2 linked regions of the Sus scrofa genome follow. The protein of the gene in region 1 purifies or fractionates together with the protein of each later gene. This does not show direct contact. Links are inferred from orthologs where the notes say so. Each region holds a gene or a part of one and is shown on either strand. Other genes may lie near its edges.

What was found. The genes of interacting proteins can lie anywhere in the genome.
Region 2: the proteins of HNF1A (region 1) and PCBD2 purify together in Homo sapiens (affinity purification with mass spectrometry; 4 studies listed by BioGRID and IntAct, with this or other methods). This does not show direct contact. The link is inferred for Sus scrofa from reciprocal best matches to the Homo sapiens genes HNF1A and PCBD2.

Annotation. Positions count from the first base shown.
Region 1 is NC_010456.5:40,883,528-40,889,852, reverse strand, and holds the end of HNF1A (hepatocyte nuclear factor 1-alpha), read right to left. Parts: intron 4,414-6,325; coding exon 4,292-4,413; intron 4,207-4,291; coding exon 4,062-4,206; intron 2,783-4,061; coding exon 2,655-2,782; 3' UTR 1,531-2,654; downstream 1-1,530. Other genes in the region: C14H12orf43 (uncharacterized protein C12orf43 homolog), read left to right, coding at 260-650. UniProt on the Homo sapiens protein: Transcriptional activator that regulates the tissue specific expression of multiple genes, especially in pancreatic islet cells and in liver. Binds to the inverted palindrome 5'-GTTAATNATTAAC-3'.
Region 2 is NC_010444.4:137,079,669-137,087,167, reverse strand, and holds the start of PCBD2 (pterin-4-alpha-carbinolamine dehydratase 2), read right to left. Parts: upstream 4,249-7,499; 5' UTR 4,193-4,248; coding exon 4,109-4,192; intron 1-4,108.

The sequences.
Region 1 (6,325 bases):
CATCTTGTGCCAGACGTCTCACTCCTGGGACATCCCTGTGAGGCCTGGGCTCTGGTAAAACCCCCACTGCATAGATGAAGATGCGTAGGGTCAGAGAAGTGAAGTCACATAATGAGGTCACACAGCTGGCACTGGAGCCAGGTCTGCCTCACTGCCAAGCCTGCGCTCTCTAACTGCCACCCTCTATCTCTGGCTGCTTTCGGACTGAGGCACTGAGAGGCAGCTCTGGGGCCCTGTGGTGACTGTCCTCCCCTTGCAGCAGCGAGGATGGTGACGAGGAGTTGCAGCGGTGCCGGGAGGCGGCTGTGTCAGCCTCCGACATCCTCCAGGAGTCCGCCATCCACGGCCCTGTCAGCGTGGAGGAGAAGGCAAAGAAGAAGAAAAGGAAGTTGAAAAAGAAAGCCAAGAAGGAGGCCAGTGCCAGTGTGGCTGCTGCTGCCACAGTCACCACCACAGGCAAGGCCGCAGTTGGGAAGCAGAGCAAGGAGTCCGCTGAGCTCAATGGAGCCCAGGTACCACTTGGGACCAAAAAGAAGAAAAGGAAGAAAAAGGCAAAGAGGGCCGGCGAGGCTGCCCCATCCCCGCCAGCAAAGAGTGCAGCAGCCACGCCTGTACACCGAGTCCTGCCTGTGGGCACGGGGCCCAACTAGCGGCGCCCCCTGGGGACAAGTCTTTCCCAAGCCCCACCTCCCTTTCCAAGTGCAAGAACTCAACTCTGTCCATGATGGGCTTGCCCAAGGGTCGGGGCCGAGAAGAGGTTGTAAGGTGAGAAACATGAGCAAGGCCTGCCCTTCTCTGCTCCCACTGGGTACCAGAGTGTTCTGTGGCCTCAGGAAGAAGGAGGAGGACCCCAGTTTTTCAAGGCTGATGGCCAGGTGGCAGAGCTTCCACCTCCTCAGCCTGTTGTGGGAGACAATCTGAAGAAAACGAGGGAGGGGGTCCCCGAAGTGCCAAGGCCCAGGAGGAGTTTGGTGCTTCTCCCTCCAGTCACCCAGTCTTGAGAAAGGAGAGATTCCCTCCTCCCCCACCCCCCAGTTTTCCAGAATTTTCTTCCTCCACATTTGTGAATACACCATGTACAGTTGTGTCTCTGAGCCAACCAGAGTATCAAAAATAAATTGTCGAGGGACCCAAAACATAACAGAGTGATTTGGGTGCTGCCCTCCATCAGTGCTGAATCTTGATGAGTCATTTGAAGTAAGCACCACCCAGGCAGGGTTGTCCTGCCTACACCCCAAGTAGGGTTCCTGCAACAGCTTCAAGACTTTCAGGATGTGCCACGGCACCCAGGGATCAGGATTCATCTACAGGGGTGTTCTGCAAGAAGTACTGGAAGTTCAAGATGAAGCTAAGATTCTGGCTTCCTTGCCTGGCCTCAGAGATTCAGCAGAGCAAGGAAAACAGGTGGGGGATGTGTATGTGTGTCTGTGTGTGTGCACGCACATGCGCACGTGCCAGCCCCACCCCTCCTTGGTCCCCAGGCCCAACCCCAGCTGGGTGATGTGTGGACAAGCAAGAAGTTTCCAACCTGTTCCTCACTTGCTTTATTAAAAGTTAAATAAATGTGCAGGCTTGCCTTTAGCTGGCTGCAAGCTGCAGGGGCGCTAGTCTTCCCCAGCCCCCTCCTCAAGGTGGAGGAGGTCCATGAGGGCCCTGTGATCTGCAGCAGCCCTGGGGAAGGGTCAAGTGAGCCCTGGATCGACATGGCTGCCTTGTCCCTCAGGGCCTCAGGCAGGTCTTCAGTGGGCTGTGAACCATCTGGGCCTCTCCCCCTCCCCTCACCAGCCAGGCCCCAAGCTTCCAGATGGCAGCCTCTCCACCAGCCTCACCTCTCTTCTCCCCTCTGGGCTCAGCTTTGCCAGCTGCTTTGGCCTTACTGCCTTCTGAGCTCAGCATCTTCTCCCCCAAACCAGGAAAGGGCCTGCTGCCCCACGACTCAACCTGGCACCAAGTGCAGAATCACGAGCCTCCCACAGGAGCAAGGACAACGTCTAGCCCTCAGGGGAGCTTTCCAGTAGAGGCAAGATGCCAGGCTGGCATCAGGAAGTTTGCTCAGGACACGGGAAGCTGGAGAGGCCTGCCCGCCCCAGGCCCTGGTGCAGAGTAGTCACCCAGGCAATGCTGATCTGAATGGGGGGACAGGTAGGTTGAAATGCACGTGCAGGTTAATAACAGGAAGGGGGGCTGGGTGGAGTGGCCCAGTCAGGGCATAGGTGACAGAATGGGGCCATGTTGATCTGTGGCCTCTCTCCTAGGCACACAGGCCTGTATCCTGAGAAGTAGGGTGCCAGTGCTCTCCACAGGCCCAGGCTGGGGGTCCCCAAGTCCACAGGCTGCCCCTTTCTCTTCCAAGTGACAACGTTTACCCTCAGCATCAGGGACAGTCCCTCCAGAGTCCTGCCAGGAGCAGGCTCTGCTTCCCAGCTCTCCATAATCCCCTCTTGGACACTGAAGCAGCCCTCTTCGGGTTGGGGCACCTCAGAAACCCTCCCTTTCTGAAGCCAACAACCGGGTAGGGACTGAGGCACAGTTTTCCCGGGAAGAGCAGCAGCCCAGAGGCAGTGAAAGTTTGTAGCCTCAGATGTTCTCGTCGTCACTCCTCAAAAAGGCTGTGTAGGCTTCAGGGCCCAGCCCCTTGGAAGCAGTTGCCATGGTTACTGGGAGGATGAGGCCATCTGCGTGGAGATGAAGGTCTCGATGACACTGTGGTTGGATGGCAGCAGGTGGCTGTGACCGTTGGTGGAGTCGGAGCTCTGGTACAGCACCAGGCTGCTGGAGGACACTGCAGGGACAGTGAAGCTGCCGGCTGCCCGCCTTGACCATTATGTCCCCTCCCCACTCACCATCCCTGAGGGGACCTGGGATGGGAAAGTGGGGACTGACTACCTCCTGAATCTTAGCAGGTAACCGGAACCCTAAAATCAAACCCCTACCCCTGGGTCTTGTCAACCTCTGGCCAGGCTCCAGGGCGCCCCAGGGAGTGGCCTCAGCACATTTTAGTGGGAACTTCTGTGTGTCAGTTTGGCTTCCTTTTAGTACCCAGTTCTTGAGCCCAACACCAATCCAAGTGTTGCTGTGAGGGCATTTCATAGGTGTGGTTAACACCCAAATCCGTTGCCGTTAAGTAAAGAAGATTTCCCTCAATAATGTGGGTGGGCCTCATCTGGTCAGTTGAAGGCCTTAGGAACAATAGCTGAGGTTTCCCAGAGAAGGGATCCTGCCTCAAGACCACAGCATTGCCTCCTGCTCTGTGGCTTTCACACTTGCCAGCTGCCCCCCGGTCCTGTGAGCCAATTCCTTAAACATATGTATATGTTTGTGTGTGTGTGTATGTGTGTATGTTCCTGTTGGTTCTGCATCTTAGGAGAACCGGGATTAATTCAGATGGTTAAGAGAATAAATGGGCTTTGAGTTTGGACCTGGGTTCAGGTCCTGGCCCCACCACCTAGTAGCTGTCAGAAGCAAGGCCAAGCCCCTCCTTGAGTGCTTTGTCATCTGTAAAACGGAGGCAATGACACCTGACAGGTAAAGCATGGAGCCCTTGGTGACTGTCCCTGCTGCCATCAGGGCTGGATGGAGGACCCTGAGGCTCACACTTAGCAAGTGGCTGCCCCAGGCCCCAAAGTGCCTGCTCTTCACTGTGACATCGTGGGCTGCAGACTCGGGTTGGGCTGGAGAGCCCACACCCTGTGGTTGCCACAGGGGAACAGGAGTCCTTCTCAATTTGCAAGAGAAGCCAGAAATCTGTGACAGCTCTTGTTTTTTAAATGTTCGCAATGAATTTAAAAAATGCTAAACCCTAAACCATTTGTGTCACTTCTGGCCCCCAGCAAGCCCGTTCTGGCCTCATGATTACCCGCTATTACCTCTTCTGGTTATCTTTTTCATCAGCTGAGCCTAATAGAAGTTACTGTGAGACCCATTTCCTGTGGTTTCACACCCCACTTGGCTCACTTTGGGGGAGCACAGGTGCCCCTTCTCATTTACCCCCCTCTGCTGGGCATACCTTGCTCCCCAGCTTTGGGGACATCAGGGAAGGGGGCCAAGGAAAGGTTGCTCACCAGTGGGGCTGGCACTGAGCCTATGGGCGGGCTGCAGGTGCTGGATGCCAGCAGGGTCCTGGCTGGGGATGTGGATGGTGGTGGCCTGAGATGCCGGCGTGTGAAGCCCAGACTCGCTGGAGGCCTCAGTATCCGAGGTGAAGACCTGGTGGAAAGGCAGCCTCCTGAGCCCTCCTGGTTGTGCCCTGGGGCAGGGCCCGGGGAGGGGCTGGGGCAAGCCTGGGCCTTACCTGCTTGGTGGGCGTGAGGCTGGCCAGGGCGCTCAGGTTGGTGGTGTCGGTGATGAGCATGGTCTGCGGAAGCAGGCCCGTGTGGGTGTACTGGGCCACCTCGGGCTTGTGGCTGTAGAGGGCTGGCCGGGAGGGGGAGGGGAGGGTATATACATGGCACCTGGGCACCCCTCCCAGGAGGGCCTCAAAGTGGGGGCTCAGGGAAAGTAGGGTGTGGGCCTGGTGAGCAGCCCTGTGGGACAGTAGTTGGGGACTCAGGGTTCATTTCCAGGTCTGGGAGCTCCAGATAGAAGAGTTGGATGCGCTCCCCAACTACAGGGGCCTGCTTTGCCTAGTCTGGTGGAGAGGAGTCTGGGGGAGTCCAGGAACCCAAACCCAGCTCCTTCACGTGGAATTACCAGGTGTGAAAGGGAACAAGAGGCACAGGTGCTGTTGTCCTAAGCACCGACCTTGGAGGGAAAGGCTGGCGCCCCCTGTTGGGGGGTGGGGGGGACAGCATATCTCTACTCCAGGACCCTCTCCACAGTGTAACCCAACCTTTCACCTGTAGTCAGTCCCCAGCCCCACAAAAACACAGATGCCAGCAGAAAAATAACACAAATCGCATGGATAAAAATCTACCCACCCAGGAGTTCTCTTTTGGCTTAGCAGGTTAATGATCCCGTGTTGTCACTGCTCTGGCTCTGGTTCCCACAGTGGCGCAGGTTTGATCCCTGGCCCAGGAACTTCTGCATCCCATCGGCTTAGCCCCCCCCCCAAAAAAAAACCTCAATGGTTTCCAAATGAGACAGCTTGAGGGGGATGGGGGAGGAGGCACTGAGGGTTTGGGAAGGAAATGCTATAAAATTTGGTTGTGATGATCGTTGTACAACTATAAATGTAATAAAATTCACTGAGTAATTTTTTTAAAAAGGATGTAATGTAAACCTATATACAGTTAAGGTTAATTGCAAATAGAGATTCACAGATCAGTGGTGGTAAAAGAGGTGCTTCCTTTGTGTTGTCTGGTTTTTTGTGCTATAGCATGTCTTTATTTTTTTTTTCTATCATAAATTCCTTGTCTAAATTTCCACTCTTTAGCCCAAGTTTGGTCTCTAGTAGAGCAAATGTACTTCCCGCTGGAGTGAAACCAAGCATGCATGAGGCTTCTAGTTTAAACCACTTTCCTAAGTTATCCTAGGGCCCCACCTAGCTCTGACCTTGGTTTTTTTATTTTTTTTATTTTTATTTTTATTTTTTTTTGTCTTTTGTTGTTGTTGTTGCTATTTCTTGGGCCGCTCCCACGGCATATGGAGGTTCCCAGGCGAGGGGTCGAATCGGAGCTGTAGCCACCGGCCTACGCCAGAGCCACAGCAACGCGGGATCCGAGCCGCGTCTGCAACCTACACCACAGCTCACGGCAACGCCGGATCGTTAACCCACTGAGCAAGGGCAGGGACCGAACCCGCAACCTCATGGTTCCTAGTCAGATTCGTTAACCACTGCGCCACGACGGGAACTCCGGACCTTGGTTTTTTTAAATTTACCTTTATTTAGCCCTTTATTACCTATATTTTTTCATGGTGTAGTGTCTTCATCTTACTAAATTGAAGGAGTGGTACTTTAAATTCAACTCACTGAACATTCGTTGATAATGTACATTGTCCTAAAACTTTTACTGTTTTGTTACTTTAGGATCAATATAGTGTATCAGTATGGAGACTTTAATACCTACTGGCTTTGGAAATTTCCTCTCTGTTTACATTAAAATACATGCAACTTGGTAAAAAAAAACAAAAAAAACAAAAAAAACAAAAACACTCATCCACCCACATTCACTCATAAATGGTGCCCTCAACCAAATACACAGATGTTCAGGTCCACAATCCCTTATCCACGATTCCAAATTCCATAAAGGTCTGAAAACCAATGAGTTTTCATCAGTTTGGCACTAGAGCTCATTTGGTGGCAAAATCTGACCTAAACCTAATGTGAGGCTATGTGGGAATTTATGTTAACTTCCTTCTTAGAATTCTACCTCGTGCTGCAGGAATC
Region 2 (7,499 bases), on another chromosome or scaffold:
GTCTCCGTGGTACACGGGCTCACCGCACCTTACAAATGCCTCAGACTTCACAGGTCAGCTTCTCTGGTTTATTACAGATACAGCTGACATTGACCATTTGGCCGTCGTACCAAAGACCATCACCCGTGGCCAGCATTCCAGGACTTGGGAAACGGAGACAAAGACATCCACCCAAGGACACCCTGCACGTCCCAGGGTAGAACCAGGATTCGAACTCAAGGCTGTAAACTCCTGGTCTATCGCTCTTTGGATATTCCCACTTCCTAGCTCTCAGTCCTTCCTCACCCAGCTCTCTGGGTTCACCATCTACTGTCAGTGCAAAGGAAGCCCAATCCCCAAAGAGGAAAAAGCAAATGCACACTCACAGGCGATTTTGTATAATAACTTCTGGGCATCCACAGAGCCTCTGGACTACAGGTAAAAAGCCCCTGCCTTAGTGGAATGAGTTTTCTCAGAAACACAGCAAAACGAACACTCTCCAGAGTCTGGCCAGAGCACCGCCCGGTCCAAAGCACTTGTGCACAACTGTCCACCCTGCTCCTACTCACCCTGGCAATGACATTCCCAAACCTGGAGTTACTTGGTTAACGGGCCCAGACTTCCTATGCTATTTGCTTTTTTTTTTTTTTTTTTTTTTTTTGTCTTTTTGCCTTTTCTAGGGCCACTTCCCGAGGCACATGGAGGTTCCCAGGCTAGGGGTCGAATCGGAGCTGTAGCCACCGGCCTATGCCAGAGCCACAGCAACTCGGGATCCAAGCCGCGTCAGCGACCTATACCACAGCTGATGGCAATGCCGGATCGTTAACCCACTGAGCAAGGCCAGGGATTGAACCCAAAACTTCATGGTTCCTAGTCGGATTCGTTAACCACTGCGCCACGACGGGAACCCCTATGCTATTTGTTTTTTAACTGAAAGAACTCTGAAGAGCATGTCAGACAGAAGAAAGGGACACTCTAGGAGAAGCCAGAAGAGCCATGTTCTTATTCTGGCACAAGTACCAACCAGTAATTCCTGCCCTACCTATTTGCAGGGCTACTACAGGCTCAGATAAGGGCAGGACTGGCATCCAGAGAGACTGAACTAATGTGAGGACTCCTTAGCAAAGGGCAACCGGGGAGTTCCCACTGTGGCGAAGTGGAAATGAACCTGACTGGCATCCTTGAGGATGCGGGTTCAATCCCTGGCCTCGTTCAGTGGGTCGGGGACCTGGCCCTGCCGTGAGCTGTGATGTAGGTTGCAGACGTGGCTCGGATCCAGCGTTGCTGTGGCGGTGGTGCAGACTGGCAGCTGTAGCTCCGATTCGACCCCTAGCCCGGGAACTTCCACATGCGGCGGGTGTAGCCCTAAAAAGAAAAGAGAAAAAGAAAAAAAAAGGGCAACCAGGGACTGGATCCTCCACTATGAAACTGCAACTCATCCCCACTTCAGAAATCCTAAAAGCCTTCACCACTGACATCAATGGAATTAAGAAGGCGAAGTAAGTCAACTCACTCTAAGACAACTTATTCTTTAAGAGGAAAAAAAGGACACGAATGACCCAGCTTTCCAGTTTCTTCCTCGCTAGGTCAGCTATCCTTCCCTATAACTAACCAAACAGAAAATGAAAATATGTCTTAATTAAATAAAAATGTTTAAAGCCTTGTTATCAAAAACCATTTAAAGGAGTTCCCTATGGGCCTAGTGCTTAAGGATTCGGCATGGTCACTGATGTGGCGTGGTTTGGATCCCTGGCCTGGGGAACTTCTGCATGTCGCAGGCATGACCAAACCAAACCAAACCAAACCAATAAATAAATAAAGGGAAAAAATAAGAAAAAAATTTTAAAACACTTAAATATTACGCACGTAAAAAAGAATGAAATAACACCATCTGCATCAACATGACTGGACCTAGAGATTAGCATATGAAGTGCAGCTACAGTGAAAGGAAAACATGATATGTCACTGACATATGGCATCTAAAAAATGTATATAAATGAACTTATTTGCAGAACAGAAACAGACTCACAGACTTCGAAAAACGTATGATTATCAAAGGGGGCAGGTGGGGCAGGGGAGGGACAGATGGGGGTTTGGGACTGGCCCATGTACACTGAGGTATATGGGATGACGGACTCACAGGGACCTGCTGTTCAGCACAGGGACCTCTACGCAATAGTTTGCGATCATCGACGTGGGGAAAGAATCTGAGAGAGAATGGACTCGAGTGTGGGTCTGACTGGATCACTGCGCTGTACACCAGGCATGATCCCAACATTGCCAATCAACTAAACGTCCACGAAACTCCAAAAAAAGGGAAAAAATACACTATTCAGAACCAAAGTATTCATTAGTTTCACAGCAATAGCTCTGAAAATTTTCACACGCAGACCCCCTCTAGGAAATAATCTAAAATTGTAACTGAATATTTAAATATTTTAGGTCAATGCAGAGTCGTTTTGGAAAAGAAAGGGAATTATTATTGAATAGCTGCAAAAGAAAACTCTCAACCATGCTGTGGGTAACGCAGCAGTCGCCTGGGGTCTGCGGAGCCCACCCTGAGCCGATTTTTTCTGCTCGCTCCACCACCCACAGCCCAGTGAGGTCGGTGACATGCACTCTGCGCTCACCACAGCCACAGGGATCAGGTCTGGGGCTGAAATGGAGTCATGTCACCTACGTAACACAAACGGTTCTCTTGGGGACATACCCTCTGTAGAACCCTTTGCGGTGGACTTGAATTTTTTTTCCCCCTTTGGGAGGGATGGAGAAAGCACAGGATCTGAAGAGTAATCTTTTTCTTTTCTTTTTTTTTTTTTTTAAGGGCCGCACCCAAGGCATATGGAGGTTCCCAGGCTAGGGGTCAAATGGGAGCTATAGCCGCCAGCCTACACCACAGCCACAGCAATGCCAGATCCGAGCCACGTCTTTGACCTACACCACAGTTCACAGCAAAGCCAGATCCTTACCCACTGAGGAGGTGAGGGATCCCACCTGCCTCCTCGTGGATACTAGTCAGATTCGTTTCCTTTGAGCCAAACTGGAACTCCTGGAGAGTCATCTTGATTCGAAATCTAGCTTTGTTACTTCCAGCTGTGGGTGCTGAATAAATCACTTCGCCTCTCTGATGAGCAGCGCTCTACAGTGGGGATATTACCACAGCCACCTGCCAAAATTCCTGAAAGGCTTAAAAGAGCTCTTGAGTGTGAAGGCACCCAACAGAGAGCCCGGCACGTGGCAACCACTCCAATCCCGTCCGTTTATTCATTCCTCTCCAAACCCCACAGTTTTACTGGATCACCAAGCACCCTAGGTAGAGGCATGCCTTGGGACACGCCTAGGTGACAGTGAGCACTCCACCTGCGTCCTCGCCTTAGTGGCCAAGAAGCAGAGTGCCCATCTTTCCCATCATCGAGTTATTTTTAATTTCTTCTATTAAAGGATTTCAAACTGCCAAATGGGCCCCCACAAGCAATTAAAGAAAATGAAAAGGTGAGTTTCACGCAACTTTTTCCCACTAGGTGGTGCTGCAAGTTAAAACTTTCCCTCCAGTTAATTTACCCCCCAATCTGTTAATTTCCAAAGCAGGGAAACTGACAGGATGCCCCTCAGAAAAGGAATTAAGAGGCAATGTGCCACCAAAAAGGTAATTCAATAGTAATTCCTTTAAAAAAAATTAACACCAAGAGAAATGAATTCGTTCCACATTCAGTCCCGCTGTTTACAGCGAGCGAGCCGAGAGCGAGACGGCGCCCGCTCTCTCCGAGCGCACAGTCTAGAGGACCGAACGGCAACTGGAGTCTCATCAAGAAACCCTAATGGTGAAATACTTTCGCAACTGCTTTTCATGTTTACTTTTTTCTTTTCTAATGAAAGTCGGCCTCGGTTGTTTTCCGGTTGGCAATTTGGTAGACGACGACGGGATTTTTAAGCCAAAGGAAAACTAAGATGCTGCGGCCACCCATGTCTCGGACCAGCGCTTCCGACCGTGCCGGGTACCCGAATGTGACTCCCCAAAGTCCGAGCCCGAAGGCCGGGCCCGCTTCGGGGTCGGCTCGGGTCCCTCCGCCCCTCGGCCGGCACGGCGGCGCCTCGCCCTCCCGCGACCCCGCGGGCTCTCCGCACTCACCATAGCTGCGAGGCTCTGGCGTCGACCCCGCAGCGCCGCGAACCAGCCCCGCGTCGCCCCGCGCACCCCCAGCGCAGCCGCCATAGCCTCCGGCCCAGGGCTGCCCGGCGCGCTGCCTGCCCGCCGCCCCGGCCGCCGCTCCGCGGGCCGGCCCGGAGCCAGGAGCCGCGGGGGCAGCTCCCGCCCAGCCCGGCCCCGCCGCGCAGGCCCAGGCGCGGTCCGGCCCCGGAAGGCCCCCGGAAGCTTCGATGGCCGGCAGCTCTGCCGGCAGCCGGGAGGGCGCGGGGCCGCAGGCCCCCGCAGGCCCCCGCAGCCCCGGGCGCTGTCAGACCCCGCTCCGCTGGCCTTTCGAGTCGTGCCCAGGTGCCGCGTTTCCTGCCTGTGCCGGGGAGGCAGGCGGGCTGGCGCTGAGCGTGCACTGCACGTTCTCTGTCTTCGGCGTCTGGGGCTGGGGGTGTCGCAGCCTCGCTGACGGCCTGACTGCCCTGGGCTCCTTCTGGGCGATGGAGCGAACAGATGGCGCGGGCAGGAGGATGGCGCAGGCAGGGGCAGAGGAGCTGTGGGGTGGGCGGGGTAAGGGGTTCTGGGGGACCGCTCCACTCTGTTCGCAGTTGGGGAGCAGTGAACCCTAGTGATCCAGGTCGGGCCCTTATAAGTCAGGGAGCTGCAGGTTCGAATGTAAGCTCTGCTCTGTCACTATTTCGTTGCCAAGATCCTGGGCACACTGGCCCATCTGTCTGTCCGGATGAAATACTTGGGAAAGTCAGGCTCAAGGTGCTCTGTAAAGGGCTGCAGGCGCACAGTGCACGGTAGAGACGCCGGAGATACACGTGGATAGACTTTTTTATATCTTTTTTCTTTTTACAAACTAGGTATTCTTTTACATGTGTATTAGTATCTTAATTCTCTTATCATTCCTTTTTTTTTTTTTTTTTTTTTTTTTTGCCTTTTTCCTTGCGATGTAAATCACTTGCCGTAAGGTTCACCCTCTAAAATGTACAATTCGGGAGTTCTTCTCCTGCCTCAGGTGTAACTAACCCAACTGGTATCCATGAGGATGAGGACTCGGGTTTGATCCCTGACCTCTCCTGGCCAGCGGGTGAAGGATCTGGGATTGCTGTGAGCTGTGGTGTAGGTGACACATGGGTCTCAGATCCCACAGTACTGTGGCTGTGGTGTAGGCTGGGAGTTACAGCTCCTACTGGACCCCTAGCCTGGGAACTCGCATGTGCCACAGGTGCGGCCCTAAAAAATAAATAAAATGTACAATTCAGTGGTTTTCAGTATACTCACTTGTAACTTCTTTTTAACTAGTTTTTTTTTTAACCTAAAATAATCTGAAATACGGACTTATGACCTAATCCCTCTTCTTCCCTTTTTGGCCACTTGATGAAAACACAACAGAGGAATCTTTCTACAGACCGTAATCAAATGTCACTGGTCTCGAGGGTCTGAGACATTTGGGTTTCCTTTGCCTGATGCCTCACACTGGGAGTTTAGGAGCATGAAAAATGCCTTACAAACTTGCTTATTACAGTGAAAACTGAAAAATGACCTGGTAATTGTGAAGTAACAAGAGACCCCCCTCATCAGTTTCCTTCCCTGACACCCCTGTATGAAACTGTGGCATCTAAGATCTGTCCTGAGAGCAGCAGCAGGATGCTACTCAGGGCCCTGGCGGAGTGACACCCACCGAGAGGGGCTGTGAATGCTCTGTCCTCAGATTTAAGTCCTAGCAAAGACTGACTGGGCACATCCTCTGTAGTGGACCCTGTCAGAAAGGCAGTCTCCAGCTCAGTCTTTCAGGTCTTGCTTCGCCACCTAAGAATAAGCCTTGGGCCTGGAACACTTCCTTACCCAAAAAGAGCCCAAACAGCCTGTGCCAGGCTTGTGTGAGAAAATCCTTCCCTGCTTCACACAACCTGTGCTTCTTTCTTCTGCTTAAGCATGGACATCAGTGACTCTGGGGCAACTGCCCCCCGCCTGCAATTCAGTGTTTCAGACTCAGTGAGAGAAGGGGAGGGGTCCTGCTATGGCACTAGAGGGGTGCTCTTAGGCAGCAGGAAAGGGATGGGGGCCCCCCCCGAGCCATTAAGGGATCCGTGCACACGGGGGCTGATCTTGGTGTCTCTTCTCCGTGTGGATGAAAACGCTGTTCCAACTGGAGCCTGACCATGCTGTTTTCCTTGGCAACTCAGACACCAAGAGGTGGACAAAAGGATCTGGACTTCTCTCCTGGTTGCCGGCTTCGTGATGAGCTTTGCTCTCCTCTGGGCCCTTGCAGTCCCCTCTTGGCACGGGTTCCTGGTGCACCCTGTTTGGCTTTAGGATGCGTTAGCTGGTCCTGGACCACTCCCGTCCCCCTTCTGTCTCCCTTTCCCTCAATACCAGTGCCTCCCCGCTGACCCTCTACACCTGAACCACTGCTCCTGGGATCAGCCCTGCTCCACACTGCCCTCCAGGGGAACCCCATGCAGAAGCAAAGCCGTGGATCTGTGGGTCATCCTGGGAGCCTTTCCTCATCCTCCAGACTAGAATAGAGCCCCATGACATACCAAACAATATGGAAACTCCTGTATTTCTGATAGGAGTTAACACCCTCCTCTGGGAATCTGCCCCCAAGGAAATGAGACTTTATATACAAATACACGTTCAGCAAAAGACAACAGGTTCGGTAAGCAAGGCTAAATCTGTTCAAAGGCCTATTAGGTAGTCATGGTTAGAAAGATTATTATCAACAGTGAAATACTTAGCATCTGTTAAGCAAAAGGAAAAAAATACTCTTTCATGACTACAAGTATGGGAAGCACACCTTAGCCAGAGCCTGGAGGAAGATGCACGATGGGTGCCTGGGCCCCGGCACACAGGCAGGAAGAACATCAACCCACACACAGGCTCTGGCGTCGGGATGCTCGCGTTTGAAGCTGGGCTCCACCACTGTACGACCAAGGTCAGGTTATTTAGGGTTTACTGAAGAGTTATTTACTCTTCTATAAAATGAGGGTGTGTTACAGTAGTGTCGACCTCACAGGGCTATTGTACAGACAAAAATTAAACGTCCTATGCCAAGCACTTAGACAGTACCTGGCATATAATATACACGGTAACACTCAACTGTTAGTTATTATAATAAGAGATGGAATTCGGAGAGGTTTTTTTTTTTTTTTCTTATAAGTACAAATGAAAAAATACATGTGAGGTTGTAAATCGCAGCTTCATCAACATACTGTGTGTAACCTGTGTCAGTTATTCACCCTCTATCTGCCTGTGTGCTCACTTGTAAAATGGGAATAATACCGATACGACCCTGGGCCAGGGCCCCCTCCTGCCCGAGACCACCCCAGCCAAAGCTGTCCACCGGGGATGTGTAAAGGTGTAAACCACCAAATGT